2 linked regions of the Notamacropus eugenii genome follow. The protein of the gene in region 1 purifies or fractionates together with the protein of each later gene. This does not show direct contact. Links are inferred from orthologs where the notes say so. Each region holds a gene or a part of one and is shown on either strand. Other genes may lie near its edges. The genes, in order: TMEM43 and ENDOD1.

What was found.
Region 2: the proteins of TMEM43 (region 1) and ENDOD1 purify together in Homo sapiens (affinity purification with mass spectrometry; 3 studies listed by BioGRID and IntAct, with this or other methods). This does not show direct contact. The link is inferred for Notamacropus eugenii from reciprocal best matches to the Homo sapiens genes TMEM43 and ENDOD1.

Annotation. Positions count from the first base shown.
Region 1 is NC_092874.1:429,413,804-429,428,990, reverse strand, and holds the start of TMEM43 (transmembrane protein 43), read right to left. Parts: upstream 6,427-15,187; 5' UTR 6,300-6,426; coding exon 6,288-6,299; intron 1-6,287. Other genes in the region: CHCHD4 (mitochondrial intermembrane space import and assembly protein 40), read left to right, coding at 6,862-6,883, 11,606-11,704. UniProt on the Homo sapiens protein: May have an important role in maintaining nuclear envelope structure by organizing protein complexes at the inner nuclear membrane. Required for retaining emerin at the inner nuclear membrane.
Region 2 is NC_092876.1:163,261,125-163,276,500, forward strand, and holds the start of ENDOD1 (endonuclease domain-containing 1 protein), read right to left. Parts: upstream 7,585-15,376; 5' UTR 7,360-7,584; coding exon 7,063-7,359; intron 1-7,062. UniProt on the Homo sapiens protein: May act as a DNase and a RNase. Plays a role in the modulation of innate immune signaling through the cGAS-STING pathway by interacting with RNF26.

The sequences.
Region 1 (15,187 bases):
AGGTACACATAGCCTTTTCTCTGAGCCTTCGTTTCTTCATCCGTAAAACAGGGACAAAGACGTTTGCATTACCTACCTCATAGAGCTTCTGTAAGAGTCATGGAATAAAATGGACATGAAAGAGCTCTCTCTGAGGCTGTAACATGCTATGAAAGTATAGAACCACCAGTCCAGGAGTGAGGGCCCTGGGGTTAGGATGTACCTGAGAAAGTCTCTCATCACCTCATCAAGAGAAAGAAATTCCCTTAGTCTTAGCACAGGACAATAGAAGAAAGCAGCCCAGGACTTTGATCTCCTACACAACGCCTGAGGGAAAGCATTCCCAGTGGGATTCCACTATTAGCTTTTTAGCTATCCCAAGGACCTAGCTCAGACTACAGATGATAGATTTAGAGCTGGAAGGGACCTCAACCATCACTTAGTCTAACCTCATTTTACAGAGGAGGAAACTGAGTCACAAAAAGGTGAAGAAACGTGTTCAATATCACATAGTAGTAAAGAGAGCTGGGATTTGAACTCAGGACCTTTGACTCTAAAGCCAGCACTTTTTCCATCCCCTGGCATTACATGCCAATTTTATCATCCCTATGATAATAAGGGCCATGATGATGCCTTACTCAATCTGAGCAATCCATCTCTCTTGAGTCTGTTTCTATAGCTATATGATAACTGACACCAATGCAGGACTTACAGTTTTCATACATTATTTCTTTGGAGCCACACCAAGACCCCATTTTCCAGGTGAGCAAATTGAGTCTTAGACAAGTTAAGTGACTTGTCCATGAATACAGAGCTAGTATCAGAGGTGAGATTGGACTCAGATCTTCCTGATGTCAAGTCCAAGACCCCAACTGGCCCTCAGGTCATGCACACTGCCTCACAATACTTGCACTACCAACTTCACAAAATACTTGCGAGGAAGGTGGTCTGTAAGTTATAAAGCCCTCCATGAACATGACTGACTACTAACACTATGGTTTCCACAGCATGGAAGGCTCAGGGCTTTGTACCCAGTAAGCACCAGGTCAATGGAGCAGTGAAAAGAACCCTAGAACTGGATTCAGAAAACATGGCTTCAATCCTCACCTACAAACTCTTATTTCTTTAATTTTATAAATCATATTTTTCTAAAAACAGTCCAATGAGATAGTTAGTCACTTTCTGTTTTACTAACACAGAATCACTGCTAAGAGCATAGAATTAGAGATTGGAAGCCAAAAAGTCTACTCCCTCTCCATCTCATTTTGCAGGGGGGGAAACTGAGGCATAAAGCTGTTAAGTGACTGGTCCAGGATCTTGATGCAAGGAAGGAAGGAAGGAAGAAAGGAGCATTTATACAGTGTTTACATGTGTGAAACACTGTGCTAAGCATTTTACGAAAGTTATCTCATTTGATTCTCACAACTCTTGTGAGGTAGGTGCTATTATTACCCCCATTTTTTAGATGAGGAATGGAGGCAGAAAGACATTAAATGACTTGCCCAGAGTCATAGTGGTAAGCATCTGGGGCTGGATTTGAACTCAAGTCTTCCAGACTCCAGGTCCTAGGCTTTATTCACTGTACCACCTAACTGCAGAAAGAGCCAGAAACAGAATTTGAACCCAGGTCTTCCTAACTCAAAGCCCAGCGTTCTTTCCACTACAGGTAAGACAAGCTTTGCACACAGTAGACACTTAATATTTACTGAGTTATTACCATTTTGAGATTGGGAAACAGAAACTTAGAATTGTTAACTGACTTACCTATCCATGGTCATGAAGTTAGTCTATCTGAGCTGGAATTCTAACCTGTGATTTCCTAACTGATAGTTTCCAACAAATGAGACCCTAGCTTCTCAAAAAATGAGCAACCTTGATTCCAGAGAATCCATGATGAAGCATACCCATCTACCAACAGAGAGGTGATGGACTTAGGGGGCAGATGGAGATACTTTCTGGACATGGCCAACTATTTGTTGCAAGAGGGGAAAAGAGGCTTCTGGGAGCCAAGATGACAGAGTAAACTGTAAGTGCTCTCACCCTCCCCTTGTTGACCTTGAAAAACCCAGAGAATATTGCCCCAGGAAAAATCCTGGAATAGTGGAGCCAGCAGAAGGGGAACAGCAGTCTTTTAGTTCGGGAGGCTATGGAGATCAACGGGAAGGATCCCTCTTGCTGCGGCTGAAGAGGGCCAGTGTAGGACTGGAAGTGTCCCAGCAAGTCTCACCTCAGTGGACCAGTACGAAATCCTGAGTCACAGTGGAGTGGAGTCAGTAAGCACCAATACCAGGACCCTAGGCATGCCTTAGCCAGCCAGGGAAATTTGGCAGATACCAGCACAGACAGGGTTCACCAGCCACCAAGCCTGCCCATGCTTTAGCATAGCCCTAGGGAAGGAGGACACCTCCAGTGGTCAGACCTCACCTCATGCCATGAGCTTCAGTGTAACCTAGGGGAACTCAGATAGACTTCACCTTGGCACACACCAGCCAGCTCAGCACCAGATAAGCTGCAACATTATATAGCTTCTAGTTGACAGAACCAGAGGTCACAGCACACAAAGCCAGTAACTACATCCATAACTCCCAGCGCAAGAAACATGGGACAGAGCCCTCTGTGTTCCAGAAGCAGAGATCCATTTTGAAAGCCAGTAAAAAGGCAATCACCATGAGCAAGAAGTTCATTAGAAAAAGCAAACGCTATTGAATTTTATTACGGGGATAGAGAAGATCAAAATATGAATCCAGAAGAGGACTGCATTGATATTATACCCATATCTGAAACCTCAAAAGGGAATATGAACTGATCTCTAGCCCAAAGAGCATTCTCGGAAGAGCTCAAGAAAGACTTTAAAAGCCAAATTAGAGATGCAGAAGAAAAATTAACCAACCACTTTAAAAATACAATCATCTCCTTAAAAAGTAAAATTGGCCAAATGGATAAGGAAATACAAAACCTAACAGGAGAAAATAACTCCTTAAAAGGAAAAATTGGACAAATGGAAAAGGTGATACAAAAGCTAACCAAAGAGAACAATTCATTAGAAATCAGAACTGGGCAAGTAGAAACTAATGACTCTATGAGGCATCAAGAATCAGTCAAACAAAATCTAAAGAATGAAAAAATAGAAAAAAACGTAAAATATCTCATTGGAAAACAACTGACCTGGAAAACAGATCCAGGAGAGAAAAATCTAAGAATTATTGGTCTAACAGAAAGCCATGATTAAAAAACAAAAAACAAAAAACCTTGACAGTATATTCCAAGAAATCATCAAGAAAAACTGCCCTGAGGTCCTAGATCCAGAGGGCAAAATAGTCATTGAAAGAATTCATCAATCACCTACGGAAAGAGATCCCAAATTCAAAAATATTATTGCCAAATTCCAGAATTATCAGGTCAAGGAGAAAATACTGCAAGCAGCCAGAAAGAAGCAATTCAAATATTGAGAAACTACAGTCAGGATCACACAGGACCTTGCAGCTTCTACATTAAAAGATCAGAGGGATTTCAATATGAAATTCTGTAAGGCAAAGGTGCTTGGACTACAACCAAGGATCAATTTACCCAGCAAAGCTGAGCATAATCTTTCAGGCAAGGAGATGGACATTCAATGAAATAAGGGATTTCCAGGCCTTTCTGATGAGCCTGAGTTGAACAGAAAATTTAATCTTCAAATATAAGATTCAAGAAAGGCAAGGCAAACGGAAAAAAAAAGAAAAAAAACCTTTTTATTCAATATAGGCAAACTGTATACATCCCTCTATGGGAAGATGATACTTGTTAATCTTGAGAACTGTATATTTATTACAACATTTAAAAGGGATATAGATAGATACAGCATGTGAGTATAAATTAGCTAATGTGATGATAAAAAAAACCTAATGAAGGGGTGCCAAGGGAGAATAGGAAAGGAGGAGGCAGAAAAGGGTAAATTACATCACATGAAGAGGCACAAAAATATAGTATAGTAAAGGGAAAGAAAGGAGGGGGATGAGCATTGTTTGAGCATTACTCTCATTGGATTTGGTTCAAGGAGGGAATAACATACTAAGTTAAGTATAGAAATCTAACTTGCCCTACAGGCAGTAGGAGGGGAAAAGGGGAAAGAAAAGGAATGGGTGGTTTGAAGGGAAGGAAGAAGTGGTAAGGGAAAAGGGAAAGAAAAGGGAGAGGGGACGACAGAAGAGAGGGAAGAATGAGGGAGGCAGAGGACAAAAGTAAACTATTTTGAGAAAGAGAAGGGAGAAATAAAAGCAAAAACAGTAGGGGGGGAATAGGATAGAGAGGAAAACACAGATAGTAATCATAACGGTGAATGTGAATGGCATAAACTCTCCCATAAAATGGAGGTGGATAGCAGAAAGGATTAAAAACCATAATCCTACAATATATTTTTTACAAGGAACACATTTGAAACAAGGGGATACACAGAGGGTAAAGATAAAAGGCTGGAGTAGAATATATTATGCTTCAGCTGAAGTAAAAAGAGCAGAGGTAGCAATCCTAATCTCAGACAAAGTAAAAGCAAAAATATATCTAATCAAAAGAGATAAGGAAGGAAACTATGTCCTGCTAAAAGGCACCACAGACAATGAAGTAATATCGTTACTAAACACATATGCACTAAGTGGTATAGCATCCAGATTCTTAGAGAAGAAGCTACAGAAGTCACAGGAAGAAACAGAGAGCAAAGCTATACTAGTGGATGACCTCAACCTCCCCCTCTCTGGACTTGATAAATCTAACCTCAAAATAAACAAGAAGGAAGTTAAAGAGGTGAACAGAATTCTGGAAAAGGTAGATATGACAGGATAAATGGTCAAAGGATATGAACAGGCAGTTTTCAGGGGAAGAAATTAAAGCTATCTAGTCATATGAAAAAATGCTCTAAATCACTATTGATTAGAGAGATGTAAACCAAAACAATTCTGAGGTACTACATCACACCTATCAGATTGGCTAATATGATAAAACAGGAAAATGATACATGTTGGAGAAGGTGTAGGTGAGCTGGAACGATAATTCATTGTTGGTGGAGTTGTGAGTTGATCCAACCATTCTGGAGAGCAATTTGGAACTACACCCAAAGGGCTATAAAAATGTGCATACACTTTGACTCAGCAATACTACATCTGGGGCTATATCCCAAAGAGATCATCCCACATGTACAAAAATATTTACAGCAGCTCTTTTTGTGATGGCCACAAACTGGAAATCGAACTGGAAATCGAGAGGAATGGCTGAACAAATTGTGGTATATGAATGTAATGGAATACTATTGTGCTATAAGAAATGATGAGCAGGAGGACTTCAGAAAAACCTGGAAAGACTTATATGAACTGATGCTGAGTGAAATGAGCAGAACCAGAACATTATATACAGTGTCCAAGGGCTGTTTTTGACAGACTTAGCCCTTCACAGCAATGCAAGGACCTAAAACATTTCCAAAGGACTCATGATGCAAAATGCCATCCATACCCAGAGAAAAGAGCTACGGAGTGAGAAGGTAGAATGAAGTACTATTTTCTCCTTTGTTATGTTCTGTTTTTCTCATGGTGTCTCCCATTCGTTTTAACTCTTCTATGCAATATGACTAAAGTGAAAATGTGTTTAATAAGAATATACATACAGAACCCATATAAGATCGGATGCCATCATGAGGAAGAAGGGGGAGAAAATTTAAAACTTATGGAAGTGATTGTTGACAACTGAAAACAAATAAATTAATTATTAAAAAAGAAATAAACAAAAAAAAGTTGAAAACATTAATAAATTTTTTAAAAAAACAATTCAGTAGGATGTAGGGAACCAATGAAAATTTTTTTTCAGTAAAAAAAAAAGAGGGGAAAGGAGGGAGAAAAACAGACTTGTTCGTTGAAAAAAAATTTAATTTTTTTTTAAAAATTAAATTCATTTAAATTTTAAAAATAAAATAATTTCTAAAATCTCTTCCAGATTTAAACGGCTCTGAAGCCACAGTGAGTCATTACAGCAGCTAGATGCTCCCTCCCACCTTTATAAGACAAAGTGGCACAGGAGGGAGGGGCCCACCCCACCCAGTCCCAGAACGAAAGTTGAGATCGGTGCCCAACTTGCCGTTCAAGTCGCCCAAAAAGAATCCGCGGTAGCCCCGCCACCCGAGGGGCAACAAGGAATGGGGCATGCAGACGGGTAAAGCAGGCACGCAGACGGCAAGATGCGGCTCCCGAGGCCCCCCGGACTGCAGCCGCGGACATCCCGGGCCAGCTTCGGAGAGCCCAGCCAGGAGGGATCCGGGCTGGGTGGGGCGGCAGGCACACACTTACATTCCGGGACATGGTCAGCCTCGACCTGGTGCTGCCTCAATCTCCAACGCAGGGCAAAGATGCCGGAGGTCGGAGGGCGGAGCTGCAATTGGCCGGAGAAGCAGCGGGAGCCCCGAGAGCCGGGAAAACTCAGCCCTCTCTCCAGATCCGCGAAAGCACGAACTCGGGGGAACAAGGCTGGGCTCGCTGCTACAAAGTTACCACCCACGATAACCGAACGGCTCTACTGCGCCTGCGCGCCGCAAGGTTTCCTGGGAAACGTAGTTTTCTATGTTGAGGGCGGGGGCTTGCGGGAGCCTCCGCCCTGCCCTTCCGCCTGGCCCGGCCTACGTCCGTCTGGGACATGTAGTTTCCTAGGGCTAGAGGAGCTCGGGAGGCGTAGGCCGCTGGGCGCCTGGCTGGCCGGCGGGACGGACGGAGGGAGAGGCTGGGCTGGGGCGCCGCAGGGCAGGCCCTGGGAAAGGGGGCGGAGCCCGTAGAGAGATCACGGCGCCTGGTGGCCACCGCGAGGCCGGAGCGACTAGCGTGGAGAGCGGGTCGGAGCCGGAGTCACGGGAGCCGCCCGGCCTCAGCCATGTCCTACTGCCGGGAGGAAGGTGCGAACGGCCGGGCCGAGAGGAGGCGGGGAAGAGGGGGGAGGGCGCGGGCGCGGGGCCAGGACGAGGGCCTGCGGGGGACACGCGGCCCCCTCCGCGGGCGGGCGCGCGCGCGCGCGGCCGATCGAACGTTGGGGCCCGGGCTGTTGGAGGGCGGCCCGCGTGCTCAGCCCGAGACGCTGCCCGGCGGCGCGCCGGCCCCGCGGGGACCCCCGGCGCCCACCCCCCCGGGGAGTCCGGAAGTTAAGCAGCCCAGGGCCTTCTGGAAACCGGGGCTTCCCGGCGGTCCCCCCCCTCGAGGTAACCCAGACACCTCGCAGGAGGCCCCGGGGTTTCCAGCCCAGACACCGTTAGCTCCCCGGGTGACCTTGCACCAGTCGTTTCCCCTGCAGATTCTGTAGAACGAGGTTGGACCTTCTGCTTCCCAAAGCCCCTTCCCGGCGTAAGTCAGGTTAGCCGCCTTCATCCCAAGCCTGGAAAGGCGCGGGGTGGGGTGCCCAGGTGGCCAATGACCTTCCCCGGCGGAGGAACACATGGCAGAGTTCCCAAGGTCAGCATGGAGACCACCCTCACCCAGACCCGGACGGGGCGCAGCCCCCAAGGATTCCCCATTAGCAGCATCGCCCTCTCTCACCGAACCTGCGGGTGGAGGCAGGGTCCGAGGAGGTCTGGGGCGCGTCCTCCTGACTCGCCCTGGCCTAATCAGCCCGGATCCTGCGCCGGTGTGGGGCCGGGGCGGGGGCCGGGGCGGGGGCAGGGCCGGGGCTAGGGCTGGGACCGGGACCGGGGCCGGGGCCGGGACCGGGACGGCTGCGCCTCTGCCAGAGCCCACCTTGAACTCTGAGCGCTCCTTACCTCGGCGCTGGGGCAGGGACTTCCACTCTGCAGCTCATTTTCTTGTTCCCTGTGCAGTTTGGTCACTAATTCATATCACAGATGCCTGTTGAATGAATGAGTGGGCCCCAGCTCCAACAGGTACATTTTGTCGTTAGATGACGCTTGTGGGATGAATGTGGAGAGATGCTGACCCTCTCACAAAGCTGGTGCTCAGCACTGGCCTTTGGGGTTGGGAGGAAAGGGGTGCCATGAGGAACAAACACACCAGTAACTACGGTCTCATTCCAAAGTTGTGACAGCCTCCCCCAAAAGGTGAAGTGAGAGAGGCACCAACAAGATGGTAGCTCAGTGGAGGGCTAAAGAATATTAGGTATGGGTTGGACTGGATTAGAAGTGGGGAGTCTGGTGTCCCCCGCCTCATCTAGGACCTCCAGCGTGGCCAGTGCAAAGCTGGGATTCAGACAAAGGACCACACTTGAGCACCTGGAGGGCCACTGTTCCCCACCCTTGGACTCTGGGGCTTCTCGAGGTCCTTTCCAATGCAGATTCTCTGACCCTCCTGAGGCCTGGGTGGAGGGACGTTTATCTTTCAGCCAACACTGCCCTGTGCCTGAATCCTCTTCATTTAGTCTTGGCCCAACCTTTGGGTCTCTGATTTTCTCAAACATTTTATACATGCATTTTGTATCATTTTCCTTAGCTTTTGGCATTGTGTTAAGCTTACAAATTCAAAGTGTGGTAAAATGGAAATCAGGGAAAATTTCATGGGAAAAGTAGCACCCAAATTGGTCTTGAAAATGGGGAACCTGAAGGGATGGGGGAGGGGAGGGAGAAAGGACAAGACTGAGGGACTTCTTGTGATCTAGTCTGACCTAAAGTTCAGGAGGAGGAACTGTAGGAGAGATAACTCCAAGGCAGATTGTGGAGATGGGGGCTGGATGGGTGGTTGTACTGCTGATAGTCTAAGAATGCTTTTGTTATTTGTAGTGTAGCTGGCCTGCAGGGGGCCCACCCCCTCCACAGGCCTACTGGTGCCAAGACCCCAGGCAAGTCACGTAACCTGGCTAAAACCAGGATGGGAGTCTCAGCACCAGTGTTTTCTTCACCAGGAGCTCTCTGCACTTGTGAAATTCCCGATTCAGACCCAAAAGGGAGCATGCCTTACTGCTAGGGTACCAGGTGAGATCCTGCCACATGTGGCAGGAACTGCCTTCTTCCTTTGCAGTCTGACCTGCCTGAATTTTCCGTAGCGCCTTTCCATTTTTAAAACTCAGCCTTTCTTCCCCAGATGGGTAACTGAAGAACATTCACAGTGCCCTCAGTAGTAGCCCCTCTGGCCTGGATCACTGGGTCCTTTTTCTCTGAATCACATCCCTTTTGTCACTAGGCCCCTCTGTTAGGTGTCTGTCTCTAGGCTGTAGAGGGAGGGACTGGACTTTCAACTCCTGGAGAGCAGCACACTTCTGGCTTCCCCAACAATGCTACTACCAGTAGGGGGTAACACTCCACCCACATTGACCTGGTTCTTTCCAGTTACATGCTGTTTTACCTACATTTTCTCACCCCGTCTCAGGTGGCAGGAAGGAGCAGACAGTTGGGGACAAAGGGCTGTGTGAGACCTGCCAAAGGAAAAGGATTCCTTGGCTGGATGGAAAGAGGGGAGGGGGCTTCCTGCTCTGGGACTGCCTTTTCTCTAAACCTTTACCTGTTAAGCCTAGAAGTCCTGATATCTGTCTGGCCACTGGATCCAGATGGCTCCAGCAGAGAAAGGGAGGCTGGTGACTTTGTACAGCCCTCCCTCATTGTAATCCACTTCACTTGCAAGAGGTGGTGTCCTCTTCCTGATGTCACAGTTCTCTCTATTGGGGGTTTTCTTGGCAAACATACTGAAGTGGTTTGCCATTTCCTTCTTCAGTTCATTTTACAGATGAGGAAACTGAGGCAATTGGGGTTAAGTGACTTGCCCAGGGTCACCCAGCTAGTTAGTGTCTGAGGCCAGATTTGAATTTAGGAAGATGAGTCTTCCTAACTCTTCGCCTGGTGCTCTATCCACTGTGCCACCTAGCTACCCCTAAACTAGTTTTTATTGACTTCTAACTACTAGCTTCTTGAAGAATCAGGCTCCTTGAGATGGGTATAGAAGAGCTATGTCCCTCTGAAAAAGCTCTTGTTTTATATTTGGGCAGGAGGCGGGCAGACCTTTGAACCTATACACAGAAGCAGATCTCTTTCATAAGATTAAGTGCACTGAACCTGGACGCAACTTTGAATACTCCCTCACCTGGCCTTTGTTCCAGAGCCTTTGTCCTCTTTCTGTTCTAGTGCCTGCCCCTCAGTCCTGGTGAGAAGAATTTCTCCCATGGTTCGTAAAGCTCTTGTAAAGCCAGCTTTGTTTCAGTTGTTCTCCTGCATTAACCCATGAGGCAGGCCCTGACATGACCCTTACTTCATGAAAAATGAAGCAGACCCAGAGGGGAAAGGGATTTGTCCCAGGTCTGTGGTGGCTGAGCCACCCTCTGGTGCCTGATCCAGGTATTTTTCTAACACACTGTACTAGGTAGATGCCCATCAGACCCCTTTGGGTATGTGCCCCATCCTCTGGTGAGTGATTTCTGTTAAGACAAGTGTTTGAGTATCACCTGTATTCACATATCTAAAGCTGTGGAAGAAAGGAGCAGGCATAGTAAAGATGCTTCAGAGAGCCGAAATTAAAAATAAATCAGTGCTGTTATGAGAAGGCAGGTCTGAACTTGCTAGCTAGGGGCAAGATTGAACCGTTAGAGCTGTCCAGTAAAGGATTAGGATGTCCTGTTCAATGGTGCCACTTCCCTGGGGTCTTTCAAGCAGACCAGATAGCCTCTGGTCCAGCAGGGATCTGGGGGTGGGATAGAGCGCTATCTCCACCTTTGAGCCCCCTTTAAGAGCCTCACTTTAATCCTGGGCAAGTAGGAAGACTCTAGTTCTCAGCCTAAATTAGTCTCTCCTCTCTGAACGCCACAGTTTCTGTATCTTCAAAATGAAGGGGCAAAGAGAAGAGGGAGAGAAGGCTAGTCTGGCAGGACCCAGCTTTGGCCTGGCGGGTCTTTGTGAATTTGTTGTGTCAGGGCACAAAAGAACCTCACAGACGTGTTTCAGCCCTGACTGGCTAAAATCAAATTAATCCTGCCACTGCCCCTTAGGTCAAGGCTCTTGGTGTAAAAGTCCAGGAGACATTTAAAGGGGGCTAAAAGAGCTGGCACGTTCTCAAGCTGCTTTGATAAAGTCTAGCAGCCAGTTCAAGAGAAGAGACCAGTTCTGCTGTCATCTGCCCTGGTGAGACCTGAGTTCAGATGTGGCCTCAGACACTTACTAGCTCTGTGACTGGGCAAGTCGTTTCATTCCTGCTTTCCTCAGTTTCTTTGTCTTTAAAATGAGGATACTAACAGCACCTACCTCCTAAAGTTGTTGAGAGGATGTAATAAGATATCATTCTAAAGCTTTAGCACAGAGCAGACACATAGAAGGCGCTATAGAAATGCTGGTGCCCTCCTCCATCCCCCTCCCCATCTAGAGTATTATGTTCAGTTCTGGGAGCCCTGTTTTAAGAAAAGGACGTTGAAATATCATCATAGGAACAGTTGAAGGAACTGAGGATGTTAAAGCTGAAGAGAGAGTAATCACTGTTGTCAGATAGCCCAAGGGTTGTAGAAGAGATTAGACTGGCTTGGTTTAGCTTAGAAAAGAGGTGGGTGAAAATGACTGGAAAGGTGGATTCTGGCCCAGTCTGCAGCAGTGTTTGATGACTGCTGCCTGACCCCTGTATTATATTATTACTATATATTACAGGTATGTTGTTAAAGTTAATACTTAGCTGGGACTTTTTTTGGTCTTTCTTCCAAATATCAGGAAAGGACCGGATTATATTTGTGACGAAAGAAGACCATGAGACACCAAGCAGTGCTGAGCTGGTAGCCGATGACCCCAACGATCCCTATGAAGAGCATGGTCAGTAGCACTTCATTTCTAAGTTGAAGAAGATTTCTTCTCCCTTCCTCCCCCCATCCCCTGTAAATAAGAGCCCATGAGCAAGTTTCTCCCCTGCATTTCAGGAGCGGGTCAGGGCCCTGGCAGGGAGGGACAGGTCAGGTTCAGGAGGGTCACCCTTTCTCCATGTTCGGTAATCTGAGACCCCTAAAACCTCTCCACTTTTGCTGGGTTCTGTTTTCTGAAATATCTAGAGTGGTCAGACCAGCTGCTGGTCAGTCCTATTACCATCTGTTTCATCAGCTCTTTTACTTAATGTGGCTATGGGAAAAGCTAAAATGCTGTAGGAACAGGTTGTTGGCAGTTAAGAATTCCCTCATAGCATAACAGGGCCTAGCATGGAGGTGACCCTGCTGGCTTGAAGGCCTGGCCAGTGGAGCACAAGCTGCGACAAGGCCTGCTGGGGCAAGAAGGCTTCACAGGACCTTGGAGGTCAGGCAGACCATCTCATCCAGCCTGTGGAAAAGCCTTTGCTTCAAGACCTGAAATGGGGAGGATCCCACCGAGGCAGCCCCTTCCACCTTGGATGAGCTCTCCATTCCCCCTTCTGTTTGCCCTGCTCTAGACTGGCAATTCTTAAGCTTTGGATGTGATGGTCTGGTGAAGTCTAGGGGGACCTCTCCTCAGAATAATGCTTTTAAATACACATAATGAAATGTATTGGTTTACAAAGGACAGCAATTGTGTTGAAATATACTTAAAGGAATGTATTTTAAAACAAGTTCACAGAAGCCAGGTAAACATGCCCTGCTCTGGACTAGACCCTCACAAGGTTATCCAGCCTAAAACCTGGCTTTCCAGACAGGCCTGGGCTAGCCTGCGGTCCTGACCCAGTTAGGGTCACAAGAGCACAATGTCCTCAGGTGGGCGTTGCGGGGATGGCAGCTCTCACGCCTATCTGCACAGTTGGGGAAGCAGTTTGGTCTTTGATGGAGGAGGGAGCACCCACACTGGTGAAGCAGGAGGTGTGGCTCTATTGAGGCACGAGCTGTGGTGGGTAGTCAAAGTGAAGATGAAGAGATGAAGAGTGCACTTTTGCTTCTTAACTCAGCTGAACAACTTTGAAATCTTCAGTTATTGATTTAAAAGCCAGAGAACTCTGTCATCATCCAAAAAGTACATTTCCGCTAAATGTTGTAGAGACTCTTCTGACCAGTCCTCAGGAAATTTAACATTGACTCTAGGAAGCAGTTCCCAAAGAAACCACATCAGTTTATTAGTAGGCCAGTCGCATTAAACCGTGAATTGTTTTCAGCTTTCTTTCCTTCTTTGTGCATGGCCAAGGAGGTGGGAGGAGAACCCGGAGGCATCCAGTGGGCAGGAAAGGATAGGCCCTGAGGGCCTCTGCTTGCTCCTTTTTTGCTGAGGAAGCAAACTGGAGCATGAGGTTGGCTTTGGGGAGGTGGAAGCAGAATCCCCATGTCTGAGTCTGAAGCGTGGTGTTGAAGGACGAGGTCAGAGTCCTGTTAGAGCAAATTCAGAGGGACCATCCCTGTCCTTTTCATGTAGGAGGGTTGTTGTAATGGACAGTGCTTGAAATAAACTGTCAGGTGTGGCTTAGCTGCCTTTTCTTGTACAGATTATTATAGCTTTGACTTGTAAAAGAATTGTATGCAATGAATTTTGTCCCTTTGGAACAAGGTGAGGAAATCGCTGGTATGGGCTGCATGATGTGGTGGACAATCCATCTTTGGGATTATTTGCATATGAGAGATGATGTAGGGTGTTCTCTGGTTTAATTCTTTCACACAATTTTTCTGCTTTTCTCAAGCGTCTGGAACAGGATTTTCCTTGCCAGGCTGCTTGTTAAGGGTGGGACTCTGGTGGGAGGGGAGGGGGTAGGGGTGGGGGGGCACACTCAGCTGACAGCTCCCAGGCACAGGATTAGGGTAGCAGGGGGACCTGTGGAGCTGAGGAGGGTCTCCAAAGAGGACCCAGAGATAGGGACTGCAAAAGAGGCTTGGGGATTTCCAGACTCACCTTGGCCATTTTCTTTTTTTTTCCAAATTTATAATTTATTTGTTTTCAGTTTTCAACCATCACTTCCTTAAGTTCCAGATTTTCTCCCCTTCCCTCCCCAAAACAGCATGCAATCTTATACGGGTTCTACACATACTTTCTTATTAACCGCATTTTCGCAGTAGTCCTGTTGCATAGAAGAATAAAAACAAATAGGAGAAACCATGAAAAAAAATGACTCCATAGTTCTTTCTCTCGATGTGGATGGCATTTCGCATCATGAGTCCTTTGGAAATATTTTAGGTCCTTGCATTGCTGTGAAGGGTTAAGTCTGCCAAAAACAGTTCTCACATACTGTGGCTGTTACTGTGTGTAATGTTCTCCTGGTTCTGCTCACTTCACTCAGCATCAGTTCATATAAATCTTCCCAGGTTTTTCTGAAGTCTGCCTGTTCATCATTTCTTATCGCACAATAGTACTCCATTACATTCATATACCACAACTTGTTCCGCCATTCCCCAATTGATGGGCATTCCCTCGATTTCCAGTTCTTGACCACCACAAAAAGAACCGTTATAAATATTTTTGTACATGTCCTTTTCCCATTTTGATGATGTCTTTGGGATATAGCCCCAGAAGTGGTATTGCTGGGTCAAAGGGTATGCTCAGCTTTATAACCCTTTGAGCATAGTTCCAAATTGCTCTCCAGAATGGTTGGATCAGCTCACAGCTCCACCAACAAAGAATTACTGTGCCAACTCTCCCACATCTTCTCCAACATGTATCCTTTTCCTGTTTTGTCATGTTAGCCAATCTAACAGGTGTGATGTGGTACCCACCTTGGCCATTTTCAAATGTGGATTTGAAACTAAGGCCCAGAGAAGAGAAAGAACATGCCCTGGGTCATCCATCTGGTTTTTTCCTGAGACCATGGTTGCCCGAGAACCTGGCCCTCCTGGCTCCAAGCCCAGTGTTTATCCATCATGGCCTAGTTTCTGAGGCTCTGGCATTCCATCTCGACTGGCAACCATGGCAATTTAGGAAGTCCCATTGAAGGAGCCGCCCACCTTGGTTTTATACAGGACTGGATAGATATGAGAATGTTCTCCTCTGATGAATATCTCTTGTTAGCTGCCCTATACTGGTATTTTGGCTTTAGACCACCACACATGGGCTCCCTTTCCCACACTGGCTCACGGGTCTGGTCCAGTGCAGTGACACCATGCTGGGCTCAGTGAAGCCACAGTCCCACTGGGCATGCATGGGGATGGGCACACACTCAAAAATCTGATTGAAGGGAGGGCAGGTCTGTTGTCAGACCAGAACCTCTAGGGGGCAGCATTGGCTTGGATTGATCCCTGAAGCAAGTTTGCAGTTCATTTATTACATGACTGAGTTCAGAACTGATCTCCAACCCCAGTTTTACAGAAAAGAGCACTGGAGAAGGTGAAAGAGGTGATAAGAATTAGAGCTGGGATTGGAACT
Region 2 (15,376 bases), on another chromosome or scaffold:
TAAATTTTTTTCTTAGCTTCAGTGTGACTTCTTTTGGACACAGAATACCTGAATTATATTAAAATGCATAACTAGAATGAGGTAATTGGCTTCTTTTTTATTCTGGGCTCTCCTAATAATCCTCTGGAGTTAATTTCTCTATTCTTCTCCTTTTCTCAACAGCCAAATGTATATGCACAGCAGGAGATAAATTATTACTGAGAGACCTGTCACATTTTATGGTCCTAGAGGTCCTAGGGGAAAACTTATAGAAAAATGCTATGAATCATAAAGAAAAAATAGAACTTAGCAATGTTGTTCCAAATCTTTTTTGGTCAACAGCAATCCTAAAAGCTGGATTAGAAAATATAAACTTCTAAAAGCATATATAAACTTCTGGCAATTGGGAATAAGAGAAGTATTTTTTTCTTCATCTTTTTCTTTTTAGAGTTAATATTTCAAAAAAAAGAAATGCAATTTGAATTAAAAAAACAAAATTATATTTGTTATATTTCTAGGAAATATTTATCTGTCCATGCAGCTAGAATTAAATCAGGATGAATGATAGATTGGGTTAATGCAAGCCTCAAGCTGAGGTTTTGGGGTTTTTGGGGGTTTTTTTTTTGGCCGCATCTACAACATACTAAACCATGCAGTCAATACAGTGAACTTGGCAGATGCTTCATTCAGTCCATGTGGAAGTGGCATATGCCAAAGACAAGATGTGTAAATTCTGATTATCTGGAGTTGGACCTTATTATGTAGATGGAAGCTGGAAGAGATTTCATCATCAGACTGGCTTAGATAATGATAGGATAAACTACTTTCTAGTATTTTGCAAGGATCTTTAAATTATTCCTAAAGTTGAGATTTAAATCACCCTGAAACAGTAAGATGTAAAGGAAAAATAATCATTAAATGCAGCATAGAGAGCTCAGAAAAATCCTCAGAAAAAGAATTTGTTTCCCAACTATATGTATCATAGTAGGAAAGAAGACCTGAAGGATTTACTTTGGACAAAACCCCACTTAGCTTTCTAGTTTTACCCAGGACACAACACAATGGATTGGAATGTCATTGCTCACCATGTTTGTATAATGGAATCATTCCCTTTTCAGCAATTGGCTTCTTGATTGTTCAGTAGAGAGAGATAGGGCAAATAGAGCTCACATTTTCCATCAACTAACTCATGCCTTCATTCCCTAACTATCTACCATGTACCTCTTCTGTTCAAGGCTCTGTGCCGGGTATTCTAAGAGATCATGGGATCAGTCTGAATCCCTCATTTTGCAAATGAGGAAACTACACACTGATGGCAGTTCAACGACATGCCTAAGATGCTATCAGAGCATCTTTGTAATGGCTGGCTGGTCAATGAGGAAGTCATTTTTGGTGACATGCTCTTCAACCCTGCTGAAAAGCTTCCTTTTGTCTTCCTTCTTAACAGCTAGCTGATCTTCATATGCTACTTTATGGTTTAGGAAGCCCTTTACAGACATTATCTCATTGGATTTTCTCAACAAAATAGGGGTAAATTATAGTTTAGTAGTAATACTGTTCACTGGAGTCTCAACAAAAGCAACATTATCTTTATATTTTTAAACAGCTTATAACCATCACCTGTCTTCTTCTCCAACCCCCAGTGGCTATTACAAGTAGAAGTGGGGGAAGTTGTGGGCGTCTTCTGTCCTACTTCCAGTAGTCCAGAGACTAGAAAAAAAATTGAATCCTAGCAATGGGAAAGTGATGTCAGAATACTAGATGCTAGTTCCTTGTGTTTCAGATCCATCATGGAAGACTATCTGCATACACTTGTCTTCTCCAGCATGCTCCTAAGTCGCATATTTTACAGGGTTTTTGGTATATATATGTATATATGTATTCATATACACATATATATGTGCATACATATATACATACATACATACATATATATATTTTCTCAGTTTCCATGGTGAAAGTTATAGAGTCAAAGGTCTACAACTGGAAGATACCTCAAAGATCATCTAGTCAAACCTTCTGAATTTTTAGAGGAAGGAACTGAGACTTTAAAGGGTTAAGTGACCTTCCCAAGGCCACAGGTTGTGTCAAGAGGAATCAAGTCTTCAGTTAAGCCAAGGTTTGTATTTGCTCCATCAAATAACACTACTTTCCTCATAGCAAGTTTTCTATTTTCCTATGCCTCCAGAAGGTGCACCCTCTCCCTTTCCCCCTTCCCCCCTCCCAGATTTTCCTTTGGTTCAGTCAATGTAATTGAAAAGATCTAGCTCATTCAAAGATGTATTCCCAGGGTTCTCTCTCTGGGAACCTGAGATCCACAGCTCTGTCACTGACTCACTCAATAACCTTAGGCAAGGGCGAAGCTTCCCTTTTGTCTTTGTTCCTCCCCTGGATGATGAGGGCCTAATAATAATGCTGACCTCATAAAAGTGTGTCCTAGGTTGAAGTGATTCACAGTCATGAATTATTTTATGCCAAACAAAATGTGAACCTCAGAGCTAAGTATCTCTCTGTAATGGAGCTTGATATTAAAGTCCTACCTAAAATATCACCATCTCTAAGAAGTCTTTCCCAATCCCCCTTAATGCCAGAGGCTTCCCTCTGTGATTACATCTAGTTTATCCAGCATATATCTTGTTTGTACATGATTGTTTTTATATTGTCCCCCTTCTTTGCACCCTCAGTGCTTAGCAAAGGGCCTGGCACATAGTGGGTACTTAATAAATACTAATTGACAAATTGACCTTAGTGGGCATAAGACATAGGGAGCTGTTATGTGTTCTTCAACTCTGTTGAAAATCATATTGCTTTTGTCCTCCTTCATCATAGCTAGCTGATCTTTGTATCCTACTTTATGGTTAAAAAAGTCCTTTATGGATATTACATCATTTGATTTGCTCAACACTCTTGTGAGGCAAGAGGTTTGTGTCATCCCTTTTTCCAGGTAAGTAGACTGAGGCATAGAGCAGTTTAAGTGAATTGTAAAAGTCAGACCACTGTCCAGTGGTAAAACTCAGGTTCAAACCAAGGTCTTCTGATTTAAAACTCAGTGTTCTTCCCATACCATACTACAGTTGTTCCTCAGAACTCATAAGTGGCTTCCTATTGTGGCTAAGATAAAATGCCAACTCTGTGGCACATTTAAAGCTTTTCATAATTTGGCTCCAGCTGACCTTGCCAGACAGATTATGACACAGTCCTCCCTCTTACACACCTTCTAACCAAACTGGCCCTTCTGATGTTTTTTATACGCTGCATTCTGTTTCCTGATGTGCTTTTGCCAGTGCTGTCCCCTGATTGTTGTCCCTCCTCAGCTCTGCCTCCTACAGCAGAATTCCTAGCTTCCTTCAAAGCTGCCATCTACCATCAACTAAGCAATCAATTATTTTTTTAAAAAGTTATTAAATGTTTACTATGTTCCAGGAACTATGTTAAGCATTGAGGATACAAAATAAAAAAAAAAAAGCAAAAACTATTTCTGCCATCAAGAAGCATCCAAGGGAAAAGCAACATTGCAAAAAGCTAGGAACCTAGAAAAGATATAGAAGGCAATCATCTCAGAGAGGAAGGCAAGTGGGAAAGGTTTCCTGGAGAAAGTAGGATTTGATCTGAGATTTGAAGGAAGCCAGGGAAATTAAACAGCAAAGGTGAAGGTCGATAGGATTCTAGTCATGGGAGGACATCAATTGCAAAGGCAAAGAGATAAAAGACATTGTGTGTAAGGATGGGATCCCTTCCATAGTTAATGTTCTTCACCTCCCCTCTCCCCACAAATTATGTTTTATTTACCTTACACGTACTGTGTATTTACTTCTACGAGTATATGTAGCATCCCCCCTCCCTCCCTCCAGTAGAATATAAACTCCTAGAGGGCAGATCATGTCTTGGATTTTTTGACTTTTATATCCCCGATTCCTATCACAGTGCCTGACACATATTAAACCCTTTAACAAATGCTTCTTGACTGATGAATGAATGAAAGAATGGCTGCATTCAGAAGTCTGGCTCTTAGTTAAGTTGTCCACAGAAATGGTTCTTGGTACAGCATATATGGCTTGCAGGCAGATGCAATGCCCTTAGCCAGTGCAGGTATGAGGCACCATATAAGACATAAAGTGTTCTGACCTAATTAGATACTTGGATCAGACACAATGCTGACTGAGGCAGGGCTTGGGTATCTCTGCTCAAGTAGCCAAATTCTCATCATGCTCTACAGTACTCCAACAAGTATATCACAAAAAGTTAACTTCTAATTTCTAGAAAGCACAGAAGGAATCAAGAGCTAAGAAATTATCTAGTCCTTTAAAGTAAAGGCAACTTCAACTATCTGAAGGACTCTTCATCTCTAGCACAGTGCCTGGAACGTAGTAGCTGCTTTAAAAAACTTGTTCAGTCAGCTTCACTAAACATTTATTGGGCATCTACTATGTGCTGAGCTACAAGTTGAAGATACAAAAAAAGATAAAAGACAGTCCCTGCTTTCAAGAACCTTCCAGGCTAAAGGGGGAGACGACATGTAAATAAATCCCGACTATTAAGTGAAGGGGAATTAGACTTACGTGCTTGATCTCCAAAGGCAGAACTAGGATCAGTAACAGAAATTGAGGGGAGAAAGATTTTGGCTCAGTATATCAGCTAACCACCTAACAACTGGAGCTGTCCAAAAACAGAATGGCCTATCCCAAGCAGCAGCAAGTTCCTTCTCAATAGAGATGCTCCAGCAGAAGCTGGATGCATGTTACGTTACATGGATGCATGCAACTTGCCAGATGTTACAGAAGAGATTCATGTTTTAGGTAAATGTTGTTCTGCATGACCTCTAAGTTTCTTTCCAAATTTGAAATTTCTTTGATTCTATGAAATGCAGTCTCAGAGATACTAAGCAATTTGTCCAAGGTTACATAGCTTGGCACAGAGGCAAGGACACAAGCACGGAACCAGGACGTTAAACCAGGTCTCCCAATTCTTAGACCTTGTACTTTCCAATACCCGCCACTACCATGTACTTCCTTATTTAGCCTTTTGGAAATTCTCAGCCTGCCCTTGGAGTTCCTTTATCAACTTTTTCCCTCTCTCAACTATCTCATCAACCTTTCTTTTCATTATTCCCCACTACAGACTTCCTATTCTGACTAGACTGATCAGCTTACTATGTCCTGTATGTAATTTGCTTGTTCCTGATCTTATCCCTTGGCAGATGTTCTTCCCTTCACCTGGGACCACCTCCTTCCTTTGTCAGCCAATGCCTCTTGCACTCCATTCTTACTCAAAACTCACCTCCTCTAGAAAGTTTCTGAAGGCCCATTCCACTCTGATCACTTTTTTCCTCTCTGTGTTTATGAACACATCGTGTTTCCTGTGTATTCTTATTCCTTTATATCTTCCTAGTATGGGATGGTGGAGGAGAGGTGGCTTCTATGGTGATGTATTTATACAATGAGCACTTAAAAGATATTACAAGATAGCAGCTATATTTCAAGGCTTCCAAATAAACTCATTCTAAGAATGGAAAACCCAGATGCTTGTCTTGGTATTCATCTGGGTGGGGCTGGAGGGGGTACAGGCTATGGAGATCAGGAACAGGTTGGGCTAGGGTGTGTTTATTACATCAGAAGGCTTGGGAAGGATTTGGCATCAAGGTGGACAAGGGTAAGAAGGTTGGGCAAGTGGAGAGTGATGGGAAACCCTGTCTCTAGGTGAGGAGTTATTGGCTTCTGCAAGAGGGAGAGACAGTGTTTGTATGTATGTGTGTATGCATGTACATGTCAATACCACAATGCCTTAGAAGTAGTATACCAGGTTGGGGAGAAGGTATGGGACAGAAGGCTAAGTGTGGAGGGCCATTTCAATTCCTCTGGTTGGCTGACATAGCCCACTGCAGGGGGTGACTTGACAGATGAAGGCTTGATTTCTGAATCCTTGGGGTTGATACTGAAGAAATGAAGAATTGGGGACAATTATTTTGTCCTTCTTACCAAGCCAATAGGTAGAGACATTCCCTAGGCCTTTGTTATTCCTTTTTTTAAAAATCCAAAAGTTTCTTAAATTTTTTTCTCAATTTGACAATTCCTGATATTTTCCCAAATGTAGAATGGGAGATAAAAATACAATGAATAACAGGAAACACTCCTCCAAATTCCAAAATTTCTTCATTGTGAAGAAATTAATACCTCATAACGTCTCTAAGTTGAAATCATTGTGCATGTTTTTGTTTTTAAGCCTTGTGACCAAATGATCTTCCTCTTCTTTTTTTTGTAAATAGTATTTTATTTTTTCCAATTACAAATACAATCATACTTTTATCCCTTTTCCATAGTGGAGCAGAGAAAGCACTGAACCTGAGTTCAAAACCTGGCTCTATGAGATGCATGATCTGGGACAAGTTCATTAACCTTTTTGAGCCTCAGTGTCCTTGTAAAACAGGGAAAACATAATAACACTCGTATGACCTATTTCACAGGAAAACAGCTTGTAAACTGTAAAGCAAAGTATGCATGTAAGGTAGTATCACATGGGACCTATACTAGTCGAGTACCTTATAATGTTGTATGTGCATCATCATCCATATAGATAAATTTCTGTGTAGAGCAGTGGATCTTAACCTTTTTATATGTGTGTCATGGACCCTTTTGGCAGTTTGGTGAAGCTTATGGACTCTTCAGAGAAAAGTTTTAAAATTAAAAAATAAGCATAATTAAATATGTAGGATTACAAAGGAAGTCAATTATTTTGAAATACAGTTATCAGAAAAAATTAAAAGTGAGATCAAGAAGAATCTCTCAGGGAACCAAATGGTTCCTCTCTGCATTTCTGAATGTTGCAGGGACTTGGATGAAATGTTATAAAGTTTATGAGCTGAAATTCCAATTTTCTTAAGCAGAGTAAAAAGGCTTAGGGGTGAAGGGGGAGAATTTGAATTCAGGTAGGAGGAAGGCAATTTCTGGCACAGCGTTTCACCGGGCAGTGCCCATCACCCCTCATGTTATTTAGGCCCCCTCCCTCCTTATTCTGAAGCAGAAGGAATTGCCGGTCTTCTCTTGTTTGGGTCCCACTGCAGAATATCTACAAAGCTGTTTGACTCACCTGGGGTTCGATCATCCAACCCTGCTCCCTACTCTCTCCAGAGACAGCATATCGAAAAGCCGAGTAAACAGGTATCTTTTCTTGGGTGCTGTACAGGGTAGCAAAGCGCTCCTTGCCGTTGTATTTTTGACAGATTTTCACGTGGAAAGGCTCAGCCAATCCTTTAGGCGGGGTCTCTTCATAAAAGAACTTGTTACATTCAGCAAAACCGGCTTCATCCTCCCGGATAATTCTGCCCTGTATGAGCCAGGAGAAAACAAAGAGGCTGCAGAGGAGAAGGAGAGATGCTGGTCTCATGTTGGACTTCCTGAAATTCACTGTGCCCTCCTTCAGCTCTGTGGGCTGGGGGCTCTCTCTGAGAGGTCTGAGACTGGAAAGCAGCAGAGGAGCCCTGCAAGTGGATTGGAATCTGGGAATGGTTTACAAGGGAAATGAAATTCGAAACCCAGCCCTTCCCTTCTGGGAGTGGACTCTTTCTACAGGCAGGGCACTGCCAAACTGCATGGAAGCTGTAGGGTGTCATGGGCTGCAGAGACAAATCAGCAACTGGAGGCTGTACCTTTGGGTTCCCCCTCAGGAGATGGCTTTAAGGACTTGGACTGCAGCTATCCGAGTGTGTAGAGAAGGAAAGGCTTCAAGGAAGGTTGAGTCCTAGGAGATAAGGGGCGTGTGTGTGTGACGTTGATCCCAATGCTCAGGATATAAATGTCTGAATTTAGAAAATTCAGAGTATGAGGATACAAGCCTAGGTTCTGGTGCATGGCACATCTTTCCTGAGAAAGTGCTGTCCAGAGCTAACACGGATCTAAAATGTAGCGTTAACTATAGACTGCACGGTAAATGCATATGTAAAATAGTTACATAGTTGTTCTTCAGTGGAAAATTTCAGAGAAAAAAATGAAATGCAAGGAACAAGACTGATTTTTATGTGATACATAGAATTTATCTCATTATTTTACAATTAACCCACGTATGTACACCTACACCCACACCCACCCCCCCCAGACCCCCCCCTCCCCCACACACACACAACCAGGTACCTGAAACTGCCTGGAGAATGGAAGAACAATTAGCAATTTCCTAACTCTCATACTTCTATCTAAAAGATAACCATTAGTTAATTTACACTTATTTTTCTTCCTCATAAGTGTCAGTACATGAAAATCATAGACAAGGGTAAAGGTCATAGGCGTTAGTCCTCTAGTCAAAATATAAATAAATCCCCTCAAGAATAGTTTAAAGAAGTGGTGCCCTAACTTGTTTGAAAATTTGGCTTAGAAAACTCGCTCCTTTCTGAGTAACACATTCCTTTTTGAGACTGCTCTAACTACTTGGGAGTTTCTCATTTACTAAACCACAGCTTCCATCCGTTGGTCACAGTATTGAATAAATTTTGTGTTCTTTCTGTGAAATGCAAGCAATAAAATTCAAGCATACTCATGGAAATTCAAACGCAATATAATTCATCCTGGTGTTTCTCAAAAGCTGTATGGTACTCATCCTTGTAACCACATGCATTTACAAGAGTCTCTCCAATCATTCTTAGCAAGCTACAAATCCTCCCAGCAAAGAATTAGTGCCACGAGCAAGAAGTTTGAGAAAGATTTGAGTTATTCTGATAGTCTTAATGAGGTGAAAAGGTTTAGACTTAAACCAATTATTATTTGAATGCTTTGGGTACAATAAGCCATATTCAAAGCTTAACCTTCTTTCCTCTGGCGTGGTTTTTGATTTCCCACCTTTATGACAATCCATATACCTCCTCTACTTTGAAGACTCTGCTGGAAATTTGCCTCCTGTACAAAAGTCATACATATGGCTCCATATGTATGTCTCCATATTATGTTCATAGCTAAATCGTGGTAATTTAAAAACAAACAAACAACTTTTCAAAGATAAATTGTTTTAATGCCACATCACTACTCCGATTTTTTCCATTATGGATATATATGTGTGTGTGTGTGTGTGTATGTATATGTATATATATATACATATGTTCATATGTATATATAAATCAGGTGGCTAGCATATGTATATACTGGGGAATGGAAATGAAATAAGCAATAGTAACAAAACCAGATTTAATAATGACAATGCTGAATAAGGGCTAATTTATTAAGCTTTTATTCATTTTGCTATTCCTGAAATATCTTACTTGGCTTAATTTGTAGAATACTGGTGAACAAATTAGCATTTGTAAAAAATATTTAGGCAACAGATTTAAAGCATTTGAGATAATTAAGGGAGCTGAGAAGGTGGAAATTATACCATAACACAGGCTTTATTTTTCCAGGAAAGACCAAGCCCAAGAAAACCAGACTTAACCGACTGGTGGAAAGGAGGAAATGGTGTGCTGAGGTAAGAGGATTAAGTTCCTGCCAGACCTTGAGCCCTTAAAAAAAAAAATGAGTCATACTCAACTGAAATGTGGGAAGAGATATCTTTTTTTCCAGACAAACTGAACCAGAGGTCGTGGTGATGTTTAAAACTAGTCTCAGAGAATTAATTTTAGATGAGATATCTGGCAGGAAGACATTCTCTCTCTCTCTCTCTCTCTCTCTCTCTCTCTCTCTCTCTCTCTCTCTCTCTCTCTCTCTCTCTCTCTTTCTCTCTCTCTTCTTCCTTTCCTCTCCCCCCTCTCTTCCTTTTACTCCTCTTCCTCTTCTTTTGTCCTCTCCCTCTATTTAACCTGCATTCTAAGAATATATCAGATCTGAGAAACTTTCAGAAGCTATAACACATAGACAGTATTCATAATTCATTACTGAATTATATCTCCAAAATGTCTTATAAACTTGAGCAAATCATTTCACCTCTCTGAGCCTCAGTTTCCTCATTTAGAAAAATGAAGGAATTGCACTGTGACCTCTAAGTTCTCTTTCAGCTCTAACATTCTAAGCTTCTATGAAAAGAATCTAAAAGTCTTCATTAGTTCTTTGGTAAAATCTTGGAAGCCAGAGGCTAACTACAAACAAGAATAATTTTGACCAATTCAAATATCAAAAAATATTCTTCCCACCCCTTTATCTATAACCTCCTCTAGCGCAGGCATACACCTAATCTATCCAAACAGATGTCAACTTTTCTTCATTCCACTACCAAAACATACTGTCATTTCTACCTCTTCCCCCAACCACTGTAACTGGCCTAGTTCAAACCAATACTATCTTCTATTATTTCAATAAGCTTCCAATGGACCTTCTGTCTACTAGTTTCTCCCATCTCCAATCCATCTAGCACATTTGCTGCATATTTTTAGTACAAAACTCTCAGATCACATCACCTCCTCTCCTCAAAAACTTTCATTGACTCCCCATTGTCTATAAATAAAATACCAGCTCTACAGTCTAACATTCTAGGTCAGTCTCATTCTGGCTCCAAGTTACCTTTTCAGCTACTCTCCTTTATGTATATTATATTAGAGCAAAACAAACTAATGATACACCCCCATTCTCATCCTGTCCTTCCCTGTCCCCTCCCTTGTCTTTCCTCTTGTTATCCCTTTGAAAGTGGCAGAATAGATAAAAACTGGATTTGGAGTCAGGAAGATCTGAATTCAAATCTTCCTTCAGGCATTTGCTTAACTGGGTGACTCTCTTAGCCTCAGGTTCCACATTTATAAGATGAAGTGGTTGGATCTGTTGCTTTTTAAGGTCCTTTCCAGCTCTAAATCTCTGATTCTATGAATGCCCTCCCTGCTAATCACCATCTTTTTAAATTCTTTCCTTTCTTTTGAGGTTCAACTCTGGTATCATCTTCCTCATGAAGTCATCTCTTCTAATCTGGAAGTGACCTGACACTTCTTAAATTTTTGATAGCACTTTGTATGGAAATTAGGTTGACTTTTTAAAGTCTTATCTATAAAGTACGTATTTATGTACATGTCTTATCTTTATTACTAGATTATAAATTCCTTGAGAATGGGATTGTGTCTGATTTCATTTTTGTGTAAACAGCACCCAGGAAAATATATCTTAAGAAAATATGTATTAATGTTTAACTGAATACCCTTTTCTAAATATATTATTCTTCATATTGTCTGTTTTCCAAGAATTCCCCAATAGCCGCCAATGGGTCTATGGTGTTTTGCAGGTACAAAGGACTTTATTTATATACTGTCTGGTTTAAGCCTCACAACAACTGAGTTATTATCCCTCTCTTGATAGATAAGGAAACCCAGTATCAGGGATGTATATTGACTCACCCCAGGTCAAACAGCTAATATGTGACAGGTGGAACTGACTCAAAGTCCTGTGCTATTTCCAGTATAATATAATTCCCTTTATATCAGCCATTTTATCTTCTTATTCATGGATGAAGCAGTTTATTTCATGGGTGTGAATGGTATTGAAAACTGACCTACATGACATGATTGGGTGCTCTCTGGGCTTCACTCCCATTTCCACAGTCCAGGGACCTTCAAAGATGGCATCTTTCAGGGTATGCTGACAGCAGGGTTGGGAATAGCTGCAGGCAGTATAACTGCAGTGATCTTCCCACCCATCTCTGATGCTTCCCACACTTATGACTTTGGGAAAGTCATTTAATCTCCATGGGCCTCAGTTTCCTTCACTGCAAAAGTACAGTAGATGGAATATAACCTGACAGAGAAAGACATTAGTAGCTGGGAGACATGGAAAGGCCTTCTTCAGAAGATGGTGTTTGAGCGAAGTCTTGAAATGAAGCCAAGGATTCTAAGAGATGGTGAGATGATGGTGTTTCAGGCATGGAGTATAGCAAGTGAGAAGCCTTGGAGTCCAGAAATGGAAAGTCTTGTGAGGAATAGTGAGTAAGAGTACAGTTGGATCATGGTATATGTGAAGGGGAATAAAGTGTGAGATGGCCAGAAAGATAAGAAGGAGACAGGTTGTGAAGAGCTTTAAATGACAAAGGATTTTATATTTAATACTGGAAGTAATGGGGAGACACTGATGTTTATTGAGTAGGAGGTGATATGGTCAGGCTTTCACTTTAAAGAAATAATTTTGGCAGTGGTGTGGAGGATGGTTTGGCATGGACAAAGACTTGAGGCAGGGAAACCAGTTAGAAGACCTTTATAATAGTCTGATCAGGTCAGTGTCCTTTCATGAAGCTTGAGAGGGTAGTTCAAGGATACTTTCTTAAACCCAATTTCTTGTGTAAAGGAAAAGGAGATAAGAGAATGCAAATGCCCCAAGCAATGATCCCAGAATCAAGACTTCTAGCCAGAGAAGGAAGATATTCTGGGAAGCAATACCTCAAGGCATTGAGAGATTTCCCATGGAAACTCATGCCAGAAGAAAATATGTGCAATTAAAATATGTGGATTCCCAGATTTGAGAATATCAAGTTTGGAAGCTTCTAAAAGAGAGAGAAGATTTCTTTATCTAACACTGTTCTAGGGAAAAGAGGATAGTTCCTATGCAGTGTCTTTCATGGAGAGCAAAGCTGGTGTAGGTTCAATGAGAGAGGTATTGTTTATTCAGCAACCTCCAAGGTATGTTTATCTTCTGAGGTCAAGATTAAAACATAGAGTAGTGCAACAAGTTTTGGGGGTAAAGTATCTGTAGGAAAGGGACTCACTGATGTGTCAAAGCTTTGCTCTGATAATAATCCCAAGTTCAGCTACCTTATGAGAGGAGCTAATGGGCTATTTGACTGTTTTATGTGGTTCTGTTTGCTAGCTCTTGAAAACTCTCTTGCTGGCTTCTACTTAGGGCTTCAGCTTGATTCTGAAACTTCTCCAGAAGCTTAGCATTGTTTAGGAATTCTTCCTCTGGGTTCAAAAAATTTAGTTCAGGAGTTCTTCTGCCTGTCTAGGAAATTCTCTATCACACACATCATCACTACAATTTCACTGCTACCAGCTCACATTCCTGCAGCCTCCTTCATGGACTGGTGTCTCCTTCTGCTCCACTATTGTCTCTACTCACTGCCATGGAGCTCCACCTTCTTCTGGAGTCTTGTGGTTTGATGAGGTATGTGGTCCTCTGAAAACTCATGAAACTGGGCTTTAATCCAAGAAATTGAAGTATGTCTATCTAGTTCAGCCATAGTCCAATTCTCCAGCTATGTTTGGTGGCCAGCCATCTTTTAAAAGACCAAGTCCAAGGCTAGCTCAAGCCAACCTTCATACACTTATGGCTCAATCTTTTCAAAGAATATGTGCTTTAAAGAACTAGTGAGTGAGTACTCAGGATAAGGTGAGTTAACAGGTCATCAAGGAAATATCATCAATGCCAAACAAAGGAGTAATCAAGTTAACCTTGTTTAAAAGGAATTAACATTGTCAAGGGAATCTCTCTACATGCCTGTGCAACTATTTCGGTAAATAAAGCTGAAATTCCATAAGCCGAATAATTCAGGATTGACAAAGTATGAAGCTCTTTTTCAGCCTTCTTTTGCTCCGTTAAAAGAGTTTCCTAATGTGTTTTGTTTTCACATTACAACTATTTACAGATTATTCCCATTTTATGAGGTCTCTTGAAACAAAATAAAACAGTTAAGTAAGATTAAAAATTAAGTGATCTTATCTGAAAGTGAAGGCAACATTTCACATAGCATCTCTCTGCCCTTCATATTTTTAAAATGAACAGAATTCTGTTTTCTCTTTTTCATCTTCCGCCCCATTGGAAAGAAAGAAAAGGAAAAACAAATTTTTCTTAACAAACATGCAAAGCTAATAGTCAAATAAAACTAATTCCCTCAATGGCTGTATGTGAAAATGTATTTGTTTCATTCCTCCCCCTAAATCCATGACCTTTGTCACAGATAGCCTGTTTCATCACTGGTCTTGTGGAATCCTGAATGGTCATTGCATTGATTACACCTCATTTGTTTGTTTTTATGATGTTGCTGTTATGCTATAAATTGTTCTCTTAGTTCTGCTTATTTTATTTTTCATCAGTCAATAAAATAGTTCATTTTTATAATATTGATGTTATAGTGTAATTTTTTCTTCCTGTTTTGCTCACTTCACTCTGTATCAGTTAATACAAGACTTTCCATGACTTTTTAAAATCATCTCTTTCCTCGTTCCTTACAGGAGATTACAATGTGCCACAATCTGTTCAGTCTTTCCCAATTGATGGGCATCTCCTTAGTCTCCATCACAAAAAGAGCTGCTACAAATATTTTTTGCACATAAGGACAAAAAAAGATCTTTGTTTTTACCAGATGCCTACAGATAACAACAGCATAAAGTTATTTTTCCTATATGTGCAGAATTAAAAATGGAAAATGGACTTCCTTCAGTAATCATTTCATCATGTTGTTTAAGGGCTTAAATCCATTACTATAAAAATTTGGCACTGGGAAGGAAACAAACAAGCTTTTAATAAGCACCCACTTTGTGCCAGGCACTGTGCTAAGTACTTTAAAAATATTATCCTCACAACAACTCTCAGAGGTAGGTACTATCATTATTATTCCACTCTACACTTGAGAAAACTGAAGCCAACAGAGGTTAAGTGACTTATCTCACAGTAGTATAGAAAGCTGGATTTGACCTCAGATCTTCCAGACTCCAGGTCCAATGTTCTAACCACTGAACCACCATCGCTACCTAATGTTTTTTATTGTATTCATCCTTTCTTGCCAAAGAAGACCATGCCATCAGAGAAATGATGACATGACTTGCACTTGACTTTGTTTTGAGTGAGGGAGGGCTATGCAGGTCACCAGCCTCACTTCTCCTCCAGAGCCATCTGAATCCAATGACCTGATATTCACTGGAAACCACACGACCAAAAATCCATTACATAAACATGTGTGTGAACAATGTTAGACAAATATAAGTTGCATTCCCACCTCTCACCAAAAAAAGAATTTGTTGCTCAGTTGTTCTTCTTCAGTCATATCCAACTCTTTGGGACCCCACTTGGGGATTTCTTTGAAAAGATGCTGGAGTGGTTTGCCATTTCCTTCTCCAGCTTATTTTACAGATAAAGAAACTGAGGCCAACAGGGTTAAGTGACTTTCCTGGGGTCATACTTGCTTAGTGTCTGAGGTCACATTTGGACACATTTGAAGGTCAGGTCTTCTTAATTCTAGGTTCAGAGCTCTAGCTACTGTACCACTTAGCTCTCCATTTCCCCCCGTACACCCCCCACCCAAATTAGTTTGTATAAAATCTCTTGTAGACTGTCTTATGACATTGTATTAAAGTTTTTCATCCTGCATGCCCCCCTCAACAACAGTCCCCAACAAAATAATGTGATATGACAAGAACAGGCTGGAAGATGACTGAGTAATATAATATCTGATTGATTCTTAGATTTGTGGGATAAAAGGCTTATAGTTCTTCTACTAAAAAAATGACAATGCTAGTATTAGA